2 linked regions of the Lonchura striata genome follow. The protein of the gene in region 2 purifies or fractionates together with the protein of the main gene of each other region. This does not show direct contact. Links are inferred from orthologs where the notes say so. Each region holds a gene or a part of one and is shown on either strand. Other genes may lie near its edges. The genes, in order: CUL5 and ASB9.

The links.
Region 1: the proteins of ASB9 (region 2) and CUL5 purify together in Homo sapiens (affinity purification with mass spectrometry; 6 studies listed by BioGRID and IntAct, counting the BioPlex papers as one, with this or other methods). This does not show direct contact. The link is inferred for Lonchura striata from reciprocal best matches to the Homo sapiens genes ASB9 and CUL5.

Annotation. Positions count from the first base shown.
Region 1 is NC_134604.1:44,394,406-44,401,478, reverse strand, and holds the start of CUL5 (cullin-5), read right to left. Parts: upstream 3,156-7,073; 5' UTR 2,909-3,155; coding exon 2,885-2,908; intron 1-2,884. UniProt on the Homo sapiens protein: Core component of multiple cullin-5-RING E3 ubiquitin-protein ligase complexes (ECS complexes, also named CRL5 complexes), which mediate the ubiquitination and subsequent proteasomal degradation of target proteins.
Region 2 is NC_134604.1:100,009,993-100,018,142, forward strand, and holds the start of ASB9 (ankyrin repeat and SOCS box protein 9), read right to left. Parts: upstream 3,239-8,150; 5' UTR 3,004-3,238; coding exon 2,910-3,003; intron 1-2,909. UniProt on the Homo sapiens protein: Substrate-recognition component of a cullin-5-RING E3 ubiquitin-protein ligase complex (ECS complex, also named CRL5 complex), which mediates the ubiquitination and subsequent proteasomal degradation of target proteins.

The sequences.
Region 1 (7,073 bases), about 56 Mb from region 2:
TTTCTAGTTGTCAGCAACAAACAGGTCAAACTGATACAAAGGTAAGCAGTGATTCTCATATAATTTAAGCTCAAGGAAAAACTGTTGCTTCTTTCCTAATATCAGGCTCATAGTGCAGTTCATCTTGCAAGGATAGACTCCTGCATTTGCTGGCAGCTCCAGTAAGGCCCTACAATAGCAAGATCTGCCAGCATGGATACAGCTATAGGTTTTCTTTGTGCTACAATAAGCTAACGTCTCTTCTGTTCAACAAACTTCAGAAAAACTGAAATGTCTTCATGTCACATGGGTGAATTGGTTTAGACTGTATCATCACTGCAAAGAGAACAAGTTATAATCCTACAGGGCCCCTGAAATGAAGTATCCCACTTTAGAAGTGTCACATGTGTGTTGAGACAAAAAACTCTAGGGACTCCGCTGGAAATGGCTTGGTCACCTATCAGAAAGCCACTGCCTCAGCGAGGGAGAGCAGCTCTGCTACAGGTAAGGCAGGCACCAGCTGACCCTGTAATGGCTCTTACTAAGCATTTCCATCACATTACAGTTTGCTCTGTCTCACTAGGATTCAACACGACTGCTCATTCTAATTTTGCATTTAAAGAAGGCTCTCCAAGAATATGCTTTTCAGAAAAGAATTTACAATTAGGAAAATTAAGCACTAGTGGAGTTTAAATGACACCCTCAAAAATTATGATGGCCAGTCAGATTTCGATTCAGCTACTATCTGTTAATAGAATCAGAAAGGAATATTTCACTTCATTGTCTCAACTATGCGGAAAGCTGGATGGGGGAAAACAAAAGAAGATACTCAGGTCCTGCTCATGCTGGCAAAACTAAGGCCTGTCTATACCCAACATAGATTTGATTATGCAGGCTTATTTGAAACAGATATGAAAAAAACTTTCAGATTTTAACACCTCTCCTTCCTTATCCTGGGATTTTTACTGTGCCCAGACATTGTTTTTTTCCCCATTTAAAGATGAAAGCAGAAGTAGGTTGGACAGACTCAGAGGGCACAAGGCACTGCCAGGGAACACTGACCTGGAATGAACAGTTTGCTTCTCAGAGAGCACTCTGACAAATGGAATTGGGGAACAAAACACCTTACCTATTTCTAATTCTCACACTAGTTTATCTTGCCATTATAAACCAAGTCAAATCACTGCATAATCTTTCCTTCTGTAATGTGGGAATCATACTTTATTGTCATTGAAAAACTGACTAATTAGTAAACTAAATGCTTAGTAACACTTTGAGTGACCAGAAATGCCTATTTTACAAGACATCTCTGCGGCATTTTTCCTTAAACACACTGCACATATATATCTTATTGTCAATATAAAACACTGACGACTCAAAGGCCAATGGCAAAATCATGACCAGTTAACAAAAAGACTTCAGTTTGGCAAGGGACATCGCACCAAGTCAAGGCCTCTTTACTGCTCTTTCAAAATAGCTGAAGTGGAATGCTGACAAATCTTACGGCTTATGTTTCTCCTATCTGCTGTGGGCTATCCCATCACATGTATCATCAGAGCATGTGCTGGACTTTTGAGAAATCCTCAAATGCACAGAAAAGAGATGATCTAAAACATTAACAAGTGGATAAAACTGAGACCTGCTCTGAACACATGCATTTCCACAAAAAGAATATTTCTTCTTATGAGATATTTTTTTCGCCTGTATTCTTAGGTTCCTCAGTTTTAGATTTTTAAGTATTTTGAAGTATTATCTGCTTAAATATCTAACAACTTCTTACAGGCATAAAACTATACAGGAATGAATTCAAAATAATTTCAATTTCAAGGAAGATTTTTTTTAAACATTTCTTTTTAATATAGAGTTTTTTTAATATCCTGAAGAGACAAAGGGATAAATTAGTTCTCATTTCTTCACAATGAATGTCCCAGAGTAATAAATAAAACCAGCAGATTCAGGCTAAATCTATGCATCCAAATTAGGTCAGGTTAGTAAAATGCAAGCAGCACTTTTCCAGGACCATACTGAACTATAACATGCAGTAATGAACATATGTTTATGCCTATATTTATATATATCTTCAATTGTCAATCCCTCAAGCAGACAGCCTGCCCTAGGCCTATCTTAGCACTGTAGTTAACTGGTGGTTTAGAAACACTTACTGTAGGCACTAATAACAGTGGTTTCAAGTAGGCCCGTCTTCCCTGTGCTAGCATGGCCTCAAAGGCCACACAGAGTCTTCTCCTCATACATACCACAAAGATCAGGACAGGCAGTCCTGAACTCTAACACTGGACTGTCCCACTGAAATCTTCCGTTCCAACCTGTAGGAGCCTGGGGTGACTGACATCTGCCATCAAACGCCAGGAAAGTGCTTGAAAACATATGACTACAAAAGCAAAGCTGCTTAACGTAAGTGAAAGGCCTCCGGGAGTTCTCCTTTGCAGGAAAACTGCAGTTAACAAAAAAACTGGAACACGGTGGGCACCCCAATAACGGCACCTGCCCTCGGCAAAGACATTTTCCAACTCTTTGTTTAACTTAAAACTCATCTCCCGTACACCCGGATTTTCTTAAATAAACAAAGAGAAGACACGGTGCCCTGTCTATCCGCACGACGCAGCGGTGTTTCCCAACGGGGCGTGTTTGGGAAGGGAGAGCCGGGGGCAGGGATCGCGGGCCGGCAGCAGGCAGCAGCTGCCGGCGGGGCCGGGCCGGGCCGGCAGCCCAAGGCCGCTCACCTGCGGGCGGGCCCTGGAGCGGCAACCCCGGCCAGCGGCACCCGCGGCCCGCGCCAGGCCCTGCCCCCGGCCCCGCTGCCCTGCCCGGCCCGGCCAGCGCAGGGCCGCCCGGCCCCGCCGCCTCCCCCCTCCTCCCGCAGGACTCGGCCGGGCTCCGCTCTCACCTTTAGGAGATTAGACGTCGCCATGATCCCCACTGCGGGGCCTTCCCGGCCGGCCACGGCGGTTTCTCTGCTCGAGCTCGGCTCGGCTCCCACCGGCCGCTGCCGCTTTACATGGCCCCGGGCCGCTCGCCCGCCCGGCCGGACCCGCGGCGGCAGCGGCAGCAGCGGCGGCGGCCTCAGCGTTAGGCTTCCTTGTCCCGCGGCGAGGCTCAGGGAGCCCGGCAGCGGCTGGGACCGGCCGGGTGCTCGGCACGCAGCCGCCCTCAGAGCCTCATGGCAGCGTCCGCCCGGGCGGCGCTCGGCGGCCGCGGCTCCATGGAAGGGGCCGGGCCCACATGATGCGGCGCTGGGAGCGGCCCCGCCGCCCCGCGCGGCCGCGGCCCGCCTGCAGCGCCCCCTGCCGGCCCGCCGCCGCGCCGCCCGGCGCCGCGGGGCGGGGCTCGGCACGGGGCCCCGCGTTCGGCGGGACGGGGCGCTGTGGCCCGCAAGCGCAGAAACAACTTGACTACTAACTAACTAACTAACTAACTAACTAACTAACTAACTAACTGACTGACTGACTGACTGACTGACTGACTGACTGACTAGCCCCGGCCGTCCCGCCGTGCTGTCCCTGCGGGTGCTGCGGCGCAGACCTCCGCACGCCCTGGCGGAGGGATCGGGGAGCACCGCGGGCACACCCGCACGGCCACCCGCACTGAGCCGTGTGCCGACAAGCCAATTCCCTGCCCTACGCCCATCCAGCTAAGCCGCCACGCTTCGTGCCAGATGTCACGAATGTTCTATTTACAGAATTATTAAGTGTGTAAGCATCTGCAGGAAGGGTGTCAGGAGAATGGCCAGGCTCTTCTCAGTGGTGCGCAGCAACTGGAAGGAGAGACGATGGGCACGGAAGTTCTACCTGAACATAAGGAGGAACTTCTTTACTGTGAAGATGCCCGAGCACTGGAACAGATTGCCCAAAGCAGTTGTGGAGTCTCTCTCACTGGAGAATTCAAGAACTGTCTGGACACAATCCTCTGCTCTAGGATGGCCCTGATTGAGCAGGGAGGTTGGAACAATGACAGGGAGCCACCGGTTAGGGAATGTCCTCCTTTTAAGTAGCAGGGAGAATGGAGTCCCAGCTTGGGGTATGGGCAGGACCCTAACTCTCCACATGGCAGGGCGCACGGGGTGGTGTTCGCACCTGGTCCTGCACGGGGTGGACTGGGCAGGTGGACGCATCTGGTTTCAGCCATGAAAGGGGAGTTAGGGGATCCTCCTGGCCTGGTGACTCAAAGTGAGAGTGGCCAGCTAGGAGAGGCCGTTCAGCTCATTAGGAGCTGGAGTCGGGGGTTGGGATCTCCTCCTAGCCTGGGTCAGGGAGAGTAGAACCTACCTACCATAGGCAGGTAATTTATAATTTCTATTTTTCTTTTACGTGGTACTTCAGTTACGTAGTTTTTACTTTCGAGTCCAGGACTACCTGGATGTAATTTGTTGGTATAATTGCTTTTTAGATACTGATTATTTGGGATACAAATGGTTATTGTTTAACTGTTTCCAGCCGAGTTAATTGTGTGAGTGTGGAAGGTGGGAGCACCAGTATAGTGAGGTTCTGGGATGGATGGTGGCCAAGAGTCCCCAGACCACTCACCAGACAGGGAAAGTGAATTTAAAAGCATTTAGTTAGAGAGAGAGAATTTCTGCATATTGTACTGTTAGTTTGAAAGCAGAGGTATTAAAATTTATAAGCTGCTAATTTTTATGTTTGAGTTCAAGACTACTTTCATTTAGTTGGTACTAACTATTTTTTTGGAATAAGTAAAAAGTTTAATTTTAATTTTGGGGTGAGTGGTGCTGACAGCTCTGAGGTGCCATTTTGAGTGCGAATCAGTGGTGGCTCAGAGGACCCATTTTGTGACTGGGCTGAAAGGGAGGGGGAGCCGTAACAGGCAGGCATTGATTGATACAGAAGGAGGTGGACCAAGGGGGGTCTAAGACTGACAGAGGGCCCTGGTGGCCGTCTTGTTAGCTGTGCTTAAGTTTGTGGTCCTTATCATTAAATTATAAGAAATACAATTTATTTATATGTGTGACTTAGTTGTGATTGGAATCTTGTTGTCAGTTATAGTGAGTTCTTTTATTGTTTTTTGTCTCTAAAGATTGTTTGTTTTATTGGATTATTTAATTTTTTTTGTTCATTGTATTTATTTCAATTGCGAGAATTCCAATTTGGCATTTTGGATCATTAATAGTTAAATTTTGTTTGATCTTTTTATTGTAATCTATTCAGATTGTTTTATTTAGTTGTTTCTGTTAGATTCATATGGTATTCTAATAGTTTAGTTTTATTTTGATTCTACATTTTAATTGTTTTATCAATTTTAATTCTACATTTTAATTTAAATTTTTAAAATTTAATTCTACATTTAAAATTCTACATTTTAAAATTTAATTCTACATTTTAATTGTTTATCAATTGTTTTAGAATTGTTTTACTAGACTAAATTTGTCCAATTTAATTATTTAATTCCAATAATTCAATTTAATTATTTAATTATTTTATTCAATTGTTCTACTTAACAAAATTTGTTTAATTATTTAATTCCAATAATTCAATTTAATTATTTAAATTTGACAGGTGTGATTTAAATTATTCTATTTCAGTTATTCTGTTTCAATTCTACTAATTATTTCATTCTATTTCAATTATCTGATTTTCAATTATTCTCATTTAAATCTGAACTAGGTTAAAAGTTGCTATTTCAATTATTTTATTCTAATTGTTTTATTTCAATAGTTTTATTCTGATTTATTTAGATTAATTTTTTATTCAATTGTTAAATTAAAAATATTCCAATTGTTTTATTTCAATAGTTTTATTCTGATCTGTTTATTTCAATTCATTAATCGTGTTATTCAATTGTTATATTAAAAAAACAAATCAGTTTTGTCAATTCCATTGTTTTGTTGGATACAGTTATTCAAAATGAGATCATCATATTCTATTGTGATTGCTTATTTCTAATAATTCTATTTAATTTTAATTGTTTTATTCCAACTGTTTCTTTATTGCATCCAAACTTACCAAGTGTTGGCGCAAAAATGTGTGAGTACACAGAATTCAATAGCACCAGTGTACTTTTCATGGTCTGGTCTAAGTCCCCTTAGGCACCTGACAGATATCGTGTAACACGCTGCTAGCCTGGATGGGTCAGCAGTGACTGTTCTGGGTATGAGAGTTTGTGCATCCTGCCCCAATATGCTCTTGTGAAATACTTATAAATAGGTTAGCCAAGGAATAAAGAGAACTTGAACATCTGAGAAGCAGAGAGACAAGGAAATGCTGGTACTTTTTACTGATATTGAAAATAGTGAGTATCTCATTTTACATGGTTTATACAATGACTGTAATTGTTTGGGTTTTTTCCCCCTGAAGATCTGTACACGAATTTTCTGGGAAGCAAAGACATCTGTGAATCTTAAGGATTTGTAGGATGTTAGTACCACTTCAGGGTGTTTCTGCAGTGCTCAGTGTTACACAATATTGTTTTATTTACTTTAATTCTATTACAGATGGATTATTATTCAATTCTGCTGTTAATGAAGATATTAATTACTGATTGGTACTACACTGGTCTACAGTTTTAATCCTTTGCATGGATTGTAAAAGGCAGAGGGAATCACAATCCCAGACATGCACTGCTTCAAAGTGATTTGCAAGGAACAGCTCATTAAGATTTGGATGATGAGTGAAACTCATATCATCATAATATTCTATATATTTTGGAGTACAGTGATTCCAAGCTTTGAATGAGTTGCATCAGAGAGGAATATGTATTTCTATGATCTGTTCTAATGACCTGAAACCAGTAAGATGAAAATAGTTTCTTCTAATCTTAGTTCATGAAGGGAAAAATGTGATGGTTGATTAGTCCATTTTAAACTCTTCTCCCATCAATCTAGTTATATTCAGTAGGGATACTAAGACTTAGTTTTTCTTTCAATTGGAAATTCTTGTTTATCACTGCTGTGGATTGTCACAACGAACCCATGCACAAAACGTACTGTGAGTGACTAAAGACAATCCTTTTAAAAGGGCAAGAACACTCAGATATCTACCTATAGCTGAAAAAAGAAGCACTGTCAGTGACCAGACTTCTGTGTTTGTTTCCATTTCAACAGGTAAGCAAACACTTCTGGTGTT
Region 2 (8,150 bases):
CTGTGCATTATACCAAAGTATTATATCATCATGTCATGATGATATAAGAGGGACATATCCATGTGTGGATTTTATCCATTCAGTCCTTGCTTAAGAAAAGACAGGTTTCCACTGAAACTCTAAAAAGAGCCAGACCAGCCATCTGTAGACTGGACATTGGCTTGCAAGTTTCCAAGTTTTAACAATGAATTAAAAGATTGACCATATAGGCATTAAAAATAAATGTCAGTAAAAAATAAAAGAGATATGTGCTGACACGTAATCTATCTGGGAGTTCCGTAACTGAGAGAAACCTAGAGTTTTATCCTAGGTGGAAGTGGAGCCCTATGGAGCCCTAGGGAGTCTGTCACACCAGCCTTGGACACCTTGGGAGGAGCAGGATTAAAGGCCTGACTGATGACTAATTGGGATGACATAATTCCAGATCTGCTGCCATGAACTGCACAGCCTCAGGCTGATGTTTCTCCTGCCCTACCTCCATCTGCAGCAAGCACTTCTAACCTGAAGCAGTGCCAGGAAGGCATTGGAATGGAGGCCCTTGGAAAAGATGGCAAATTTCTTCAGTTTCTTAACCCCAGGCATCACCTTCTCACAAATAACCATATTTCTTTTTTCTGCCTGCTCCAGGCTGGAACTCAAGGTCCTTGCCTGGAAGAGGAGAAAGGCTGCAGTAATTTCCATGTCTCACTGCCCTCTTTTACACTTCACAGGAGGCACACTATCAGAATATAAAAGATGTGTATTGTATTTGATTAAGGCCTAAGCAAATGTCAATTCTAGTTGATTATGGGCTTTCAAAATCCCGAACTAGTGATTTTCATGAATGTGCCCAGAGCACTCTGCATATGGACTAGCAAGGCCAGTGTGTGTGGGGGATGCAGTGGTTCATTGTATGTACCACCACCAAAACAAGGATTCCTGATTGTCAAAAATAGTACAGCTGCTCTTTCACAAAGAAACAAGATAATTTGTCCAAATTTGAAATTTACCCACACCTTAGTCCACAGGGAGTCTGAGTCAGACCCCAGTAGTTTAGCTAGACATCTAAATCCCACTGGCTTTCAGTGGCTTTGGGTCACCTCCCCTTCCACTGCAGAAAACTCCAGCCAGCCCAGAGGTTACATTAAACCCCTGGTCATATTTGAGCACTGCCATCACTCAGGCATGTGACACTGGCAGGGTGGTGTATACAGAGGGAGTCTTATAGCAATAACCATGTACACATGCAAAATCTGACTGCTCCCTGTGCACAACAGAGCTCTCACAGGACCTTTCTAGAGCACTGGTTTTTGTTGTGATGGCTGAAGCAACTTTTTGCAGCCTCTGACCATGTGAGGGCATTGCACATGGTGCCTGTGCCTGTCCCCAGGCTGGTTTCTTCCCATGCCTCTCACATACAGCACAACTTGAAAGGGGCTCTTAAGTCCTCCTAGTGAAGGTGTGCTCTTGCATTCATATTTTCAGATACAAAATCCTATGGCATTATATAGAACAGTATTACAAATTGTATTTTCCATACTCAAAGGCTGTCCCTTAAAGTTTGTGATCTACATAGCTTGAGCTAAACACATTCCTGCTGGAAATTGCGAGCAGAGCTTATTGACTCTGCTAAGGAACAGGCAGACACAAAAGGAATGGACTAAACTTTGATTTTCAAAGGACCAAATGATCTGTGTGCAGCATTGTGCCATGTGGGATTCCGTCCTTCCACCCTCCATTTTGCTGGAGCTCATCTCCAGTGTGGACTGGTTCTATTTCACACAGTTAATGGTATCACTGTGCCTTCCTGCTCAGCCCAGCCTCAGGCTGTACATACATGGCACACACGGGGGCAGGCAGACTACACTGCAGATAGACTGGTCAGCCCTGCATTTTGGCTTTATGGTCTTAATTTTCAACTTAGTGTTAATGGAAGCATCCTGAACAGCCCAGAAAAAGAGCAAGGATAGCATAGTCACATTTTCTGAATTTACCTCATTCCATCTGCACTCGCCATTAGAGGAAGGAGTAACTTAACAGAAACAGAGCTACAGCGAACACATCCAGCTCAGGATACAAAGTTTAATTACTTGTCTTTTTTTTACCATGTCATATTTTCAATGGCTCTGGGCCAGACACAGAGCAATGACCAGAGTGAGGCCATTTGTCTGAGTAACTGCTCACTATTATGTGCCCACAACAGCACTGGTCACAGCAATGCCACTGAAGAAGAGCCCAGTAGGCTCAGCCTAAACAACACTTAGGTCTGTTCATCTGAAAGACAAGGGGAAAGGATAAAAGATAAAGAAAAAAAGGATAAAGAAGAAGAAAGATAAAAATGAAAAAAAAAAATTAAAATAATTAAAAGGAAGGAGAAAAAGAAGGAAAGTAAGGAGGAAGGGAATGAAAAAAGAAAGAAAAAAAGAAAGAAAAAAGAAAGAAAAATAAAAAGAAAAAATAAAAGAAAGAAAAAGAAAAAAAAAAGAAAAAAGAAAAAGAAAAAGAAAAAGAAAAAGAAAAAGAAAAAGAAAAAGAAAAAGAAAAAGAAAAAGAAAAAGAAAAAGAAAAAGAAAAAGAAAGAAAAAGAAGGAATTGAGCTACTGCTGAGCTTCCTGCTGGCACTAATTTAAGTCAAACACGCCACATTTCAACTTATTTCTCAGTGTGCTGCAGTCCAAGTGCTGCTACATTTATTTCTGCTTGCACAAACTGCAGTACAAAACCAACCACTCTCTTCTATGACACGAAAAAGAAACAACCAAAATTTCAGTATCAAACAGAAATAGCTTTTTTTTCCACGAAGTCGTGGGGGTGTTTTGTGGGACCGGGTGAGGAGCTGTCCTGAAGCAGGACCCGGGGAGCAGCAGCACCGCAGCCCCCGCTGCCCTCCGGCAGGGCTGAGGCTTGTGCCGGGCAGGAGCGTCACTCACCCCTCATCAGCGGGCTCCACGGAGTCGCTGCAGATGCCCGGCCTCCAGCTCCTTGCAGTTTGCTGGCATTTTGATTCGTTCTCTCATCATCCATCTCAGCCCTGCCTGCCCAGCCGCTGTCTTTTCACTCTGTGGCTGGTTTCCAGAGTTCAAATTCCATGTTCCCCGGCGAGCCCGCAGCGGCCGGAGCGCTCTCCGGAGCGGACCCCGCACGCATGAGCCGAGCAGCGCCGGCGGCAGCTCGGAGCGCGCAGAGCCGAGCGCCGGGGCTGCGATTTGACAAAGCTGCTCCCGGGCTGCCCTGCTCGGCAGCCAGAGACCCAGCCAAGCCAGAGATGTGCCTGATGTCACATCCTCTCCAACGAGACGCCCAATCGGGGCGCCCGCCGCTCTTTTTTATCAGGAAGGAAATTCTTAGTTTGCCAAAAAAAAACAAGACAGAAAGAGCCAGTTCGACTAGTTGAACAAACTCTGCCTTCAGGGGATGCGCAGAGAGAGCCGGCAGAGCTAGGGCAGGCAGAGAATAGGGCAGGGAGAGAACAGGGCAGGGAGAGCCGGCAGAGCCAGGGCAGGCAGAGAATAGGGCAGGGAGAGAACAGGGCAGGGAGAGCCGGGACAGGGAGAGCCGGGACAGGCAGAGAACAGGACAGGGAGAGAACAGGACAGGCAGAGCCGGGGCAGGCAGAGCCGGGACAGGCAGAGAACAGGACAGGCAGAGAACAGGACAGGGAGAGAACAGGACAGGCAGAGCCGGGACAGGGAGAGAACAGGACAGGCAGAGCCGGGACAGGCAGAGCCAGGACAGGCAGAGAACAGGACAGGCAGAGCCAGGACAGGCAGAGAACAGGACAGGCAGAGCCGGGACAGGCAGAGCCGGGACAGGCAGAGAACAGGACAGGCAGAGCCAGGACAGGCAGAGAACAGGACAGGCAGAGCCGGGACAGGCAGAGCCGGGACAGGCAGAGAACAGGACAGGCAGAGAACAGGACAGGGAGAGAACAGGACAGGGAGAGCTGGGACAGGCAGAGAACAGGACAGGCAGAGCCGGGACAGGCAGAGAACAGGACAGGCAGAGAACTGGACAGGCAGAGAACAGGGCAGGGAGAGCTGGGACAGGCAGAGAACAGGACAGGCAGAGAACTGGACAGGCAGAGAACAGGGCAGGGAGAGCTGGGACAGGCAGAGAACAGGACAGGCAGAGCCGGGACAGGCAGAGCCAGGACAGGCAGAGAACAGGACAGGCAGAGAACAGGACAGGCAGAGAACAGGGCAGGCAGAGTGTCTGTTTTGCAAAAGTTCTGTTCTCACAGGTCATCTCTATTTAAAATATTTTCCTTCCCAGTACAGTATAATTTACAAGCACAAAATCCTTTTTCTGTCACTGAATATTTGCGCATTTGTGTTCAAGTGGAAGTAGGCTTCTACTTATGTTCAAGTAGAATTTCCATGCAAATTCTAAACCATGTAATGTTTTTCTTTTTTTTCTTTTTTTTTTTTTTTTGTCCTGTATGGCTACTAGAGCAAAATTTGTGTTTGTGTATTTGAGGATTTGAAGTTGCTTATAGTATTTTGATTCTGATCCTAACTTAGCTGAGCCTAAGAAACTTGGTTTTAATTTTATTTCTTTCTGTAATGTATGCAAGAAATCTGGAATAATATTTAGGGTTTCTTTGTCCATATCTTTAAAAATAATAATTTATATTAAAAGATGCAAACAGCAGCTGAACATCATCCACACACTTTGCCAACAGGGAATCTGTGACAGCAGCCTGGGCACAGATGAGGACAGGGCCAGCCCTTTCCATGGCACTTCTTGCTGAATGCAGCATGGCCTCCCATGCTGGATACAAGCTTTGATCTCCCTGAAAATTACATTTGTGTCTTAGCCAAACTGGTGTGGGAAAAATGTGTAAACAGAGAACGTGGTGTATGTAGGTATTGTTTCTGAGGATTAACATGTAAAAAGAATGAAAAAAACCCATTTTTTTCTCTTTAGTGTTACTTGATTTTAGAGGTTAGGTTGCCCCTTTTCATGATTGATCATATTGCTGGCAGATCTAGTATTAACAACCATTTCAACAATTCCACCACCAAAAGGAATCCGTGTATGAAACCAAATGTGCAAGCTCAGAGCTGTGTTATCTTCTCTGATGACCAAGAAGGTAAATGCAGTAATGACCAGTGAGACCTGGTGCCTCAGGAAGTTTGCAGATTTGAATGAATTTGAATGGTGCAGTTGATATTCCTTAAGGACAGGATGCAACCGCTGGGGACCTGGACAAGCTTGAGGAGTGGGCCCATGAGCACCTCCTGAGGTTCAACAAATCCAAGTGCAAGGTGCTGCACCTGAGTCAGGGTGATCCCAGACATGAGCACAGAAGACAAGGGAGGAGAAGTCACTGAGGGCAGCCCTGCAGAGAAGGACCTGGGGGTTCCTGTGGATGAAAAGCTGGACATGAGCCCACAGTGTGCGCTTGCAGCCCAGGAGGCCCAAGGCACCCTGGGCTGCATCCAAAGCAGCCCAGCCAGCAGGTCCAGGGAAGGGGATTCTCCCCCTCTACTTTGCCCTCATGAGACCCTACCAGGAGTCCTGCATCCTACTGTGGGGTCCAGCACCATAAAAACATGGATTTGTTAGAGCAGGTGCAAAGGAGGAGCACAAAGATGCTCAGAGAGCTGAAGCACCTCTCCCATGAAGACAGGCTGAGAGAGCTGGACTTGATCAGCCTGGAGAAGAGGAGGCTTTAGAGAGGCCTTGCTGTAGTCTTCCAGTACCTTAGGGTGCTTATAAAAAGGAGGGAGAGAGACTTCTTACATGAGCAGATCATTCCAGACCAAATGTCAATGGATTTAGATTGAAAATTTAGATTTATATTAGATGCTAGGAAGAAATTCTTTGCTCACAGACTTGTGAGGTGCTGGAAATGTTGCCCTGGGAGGCTGTGAATGCCTCATCCCTGGAAGCATTCAAGGCCAGATTAGATGGTACTCTGAGCAACCTGATCTAGAGTGGCAGCCCTGCTCATGGCAGGGGCCTGGGACTAGATGAACTTTAAGGTCCCTTCCAGCCCAATCCAGTCTGTTGTGACAGCTGTGCTCCTCTGAGCTACATTTCAGATGCCCTTATGCTGACATGCAGCCAGATTACAGCAGAGAGTAACTAGAAAACACACAGATCCTGAGTTTGACAGACATAAATTATCTCCTGAGCTCTTGCTTCAGCTAGCAATTCAGGCATACCTACAGAGGCAGTGTGTGGCTTTGGCCTGGTGATCACCTTAATATTATTTAACCATCTATAGCCACTCTACTTCTTAAGCATCATTTTGATGTGAATGGAATCATCAAACTAAATTAAACTCCCCAAATAACACATCCCAAAACCAGGGGATTCCTATAGGTTGTTCTCAGCCTTGCTGAGAGCTGGAATATGCAAGAAGGCTTTGATTAATTTAATCTCTTTTGTTGCTGATCTTTTATGTAAGCAAGCAAAAAATTCTCCAGTAAAAAGGGAACATTTTAACATCAACCTGGATCTCAAGATAAACAACACAGAACTTCAAATACAGATTAGAAACAGCTTACACAACACAGAGACACACCAGAGCTTTTAAGCATTACAATATTATTTTCCATTTAAGTAGCAAATACATCCCTAAGTTCTACATAAACAGGCCTAGTACAGAAATTACTTTATCCTTATTCAAGTGCAGCCATCCTTGGTGCATAGAAGTGCACAATAAAGTGGAATCAACAACAGTTAATATTACTTTTTTCTATTTACATCATGTCTTATAAAAGGAATATTTTCTTTTTCCTCCTTCAAAAAAAAATCTACATTTTTTGTAATTCAATGGACTGTTCTACTGTCTTGGTTCTTTTTTATTTCCAGTTGTTAATCAATTTTTTAACTTGTCCAGATAACTTTTATACCAATTTTATTACTATTAGCACAAATATTGCTTCAAAAACGAAAATACACTACTGGTAAATCTGTCTTGGTATGAAAATTGACCCTTGGTTTCTGAGGATGCAAATCACAGAATTACAGGAAATGTTTGGAAAATTGGACACAAAACATAATTTAACTTCAATTAACTTAAATTTAGTCCAACTGAAGTTCAATTTAACTTCAGAATCAGGGTGAGAAATCCTAGCTTTTCCTTAGCATTAATGAAGAAACATAGGCACTTTCAAACCATGCTTTGTCTCACCTACTTTAGATGCTTGCTCTGGGGGAGCACATATTGAATATTAGAGTCAGTCTTCACCAACTGTAAAAGGGATCCCTAAACCATGAGCAGAGAATTAGGTGGAATTAGATGTGTATGTGTAAACAGCTGAAACCCGCTTTGAAATATGGGTGAACTGACAGCCAGGGGTCCCAGCTCTGACACCCCTGAGTGCTGCCATGTGCCTTGTCCTGCACAGCCTCTGGGTGCTGCAGCTCAGGGTGAAGCATCTTCAGCCCAGACAAAAGCCAGCATTGCCCAGTGCCTGAACCACAGAGCCTCAACTTTGGAGTGCCTGTATCTCAGAGCAGGGTTTTGACAGACAATTCTGACAGATTTATCTGCATTGATCCAAGCTATTGCTCCCAACTCTCAGCAGAGATTACCCAGTACCAGGGATGGCAGCACTGGCCACAAAGTGATGCCACAGCTGTCTCAGTACTGGGCCATCGTGTCAGCTCAAAAACCTGTAAAAGCTGTTTTCTTCTACAGACTGTAAACTTGAGCTCTGAGACACTAGCACATGCCAGATCCTCCTCTAAGGCAGCAATTTCCAGTCAGCAAGCAAGGCACACATCTGGGACAGCCATGTTTTAAATCACAGCAGTTAAATCTGCCAGAGCTTGCCCACAGGAGTACTAAAGCACTGGTGTCATTTCCAGAGGTACCTGGGTTTTCTTTGGAAAGCTGCTGCGAAATTCTTGAGCTGACACAAAGTGGAGAAGTTCGCCCTTGGAGAAATTAATCATACAGTCTGATTCTTGTATCCCTAATTTCCTTGCCTCAAATCAAGTCTCTCCTCCAGAGGCTTTCCTTCTTTTACAGTTTTTCTAACATGAAATGTTTCATTTTCCTTCCTCTCACCCTCACAGAAACTTCCCTTTGCAAACATCCCGTCAGCCTGGCTGGGGACCAGACAGACTTCTGCAAGTAAATGTTCCCTTCTGCAGGATGGCCAATTGACTTAGCAAGAGAGACTCTAAATTGAAACAAAAAAACCTTGAAGAAA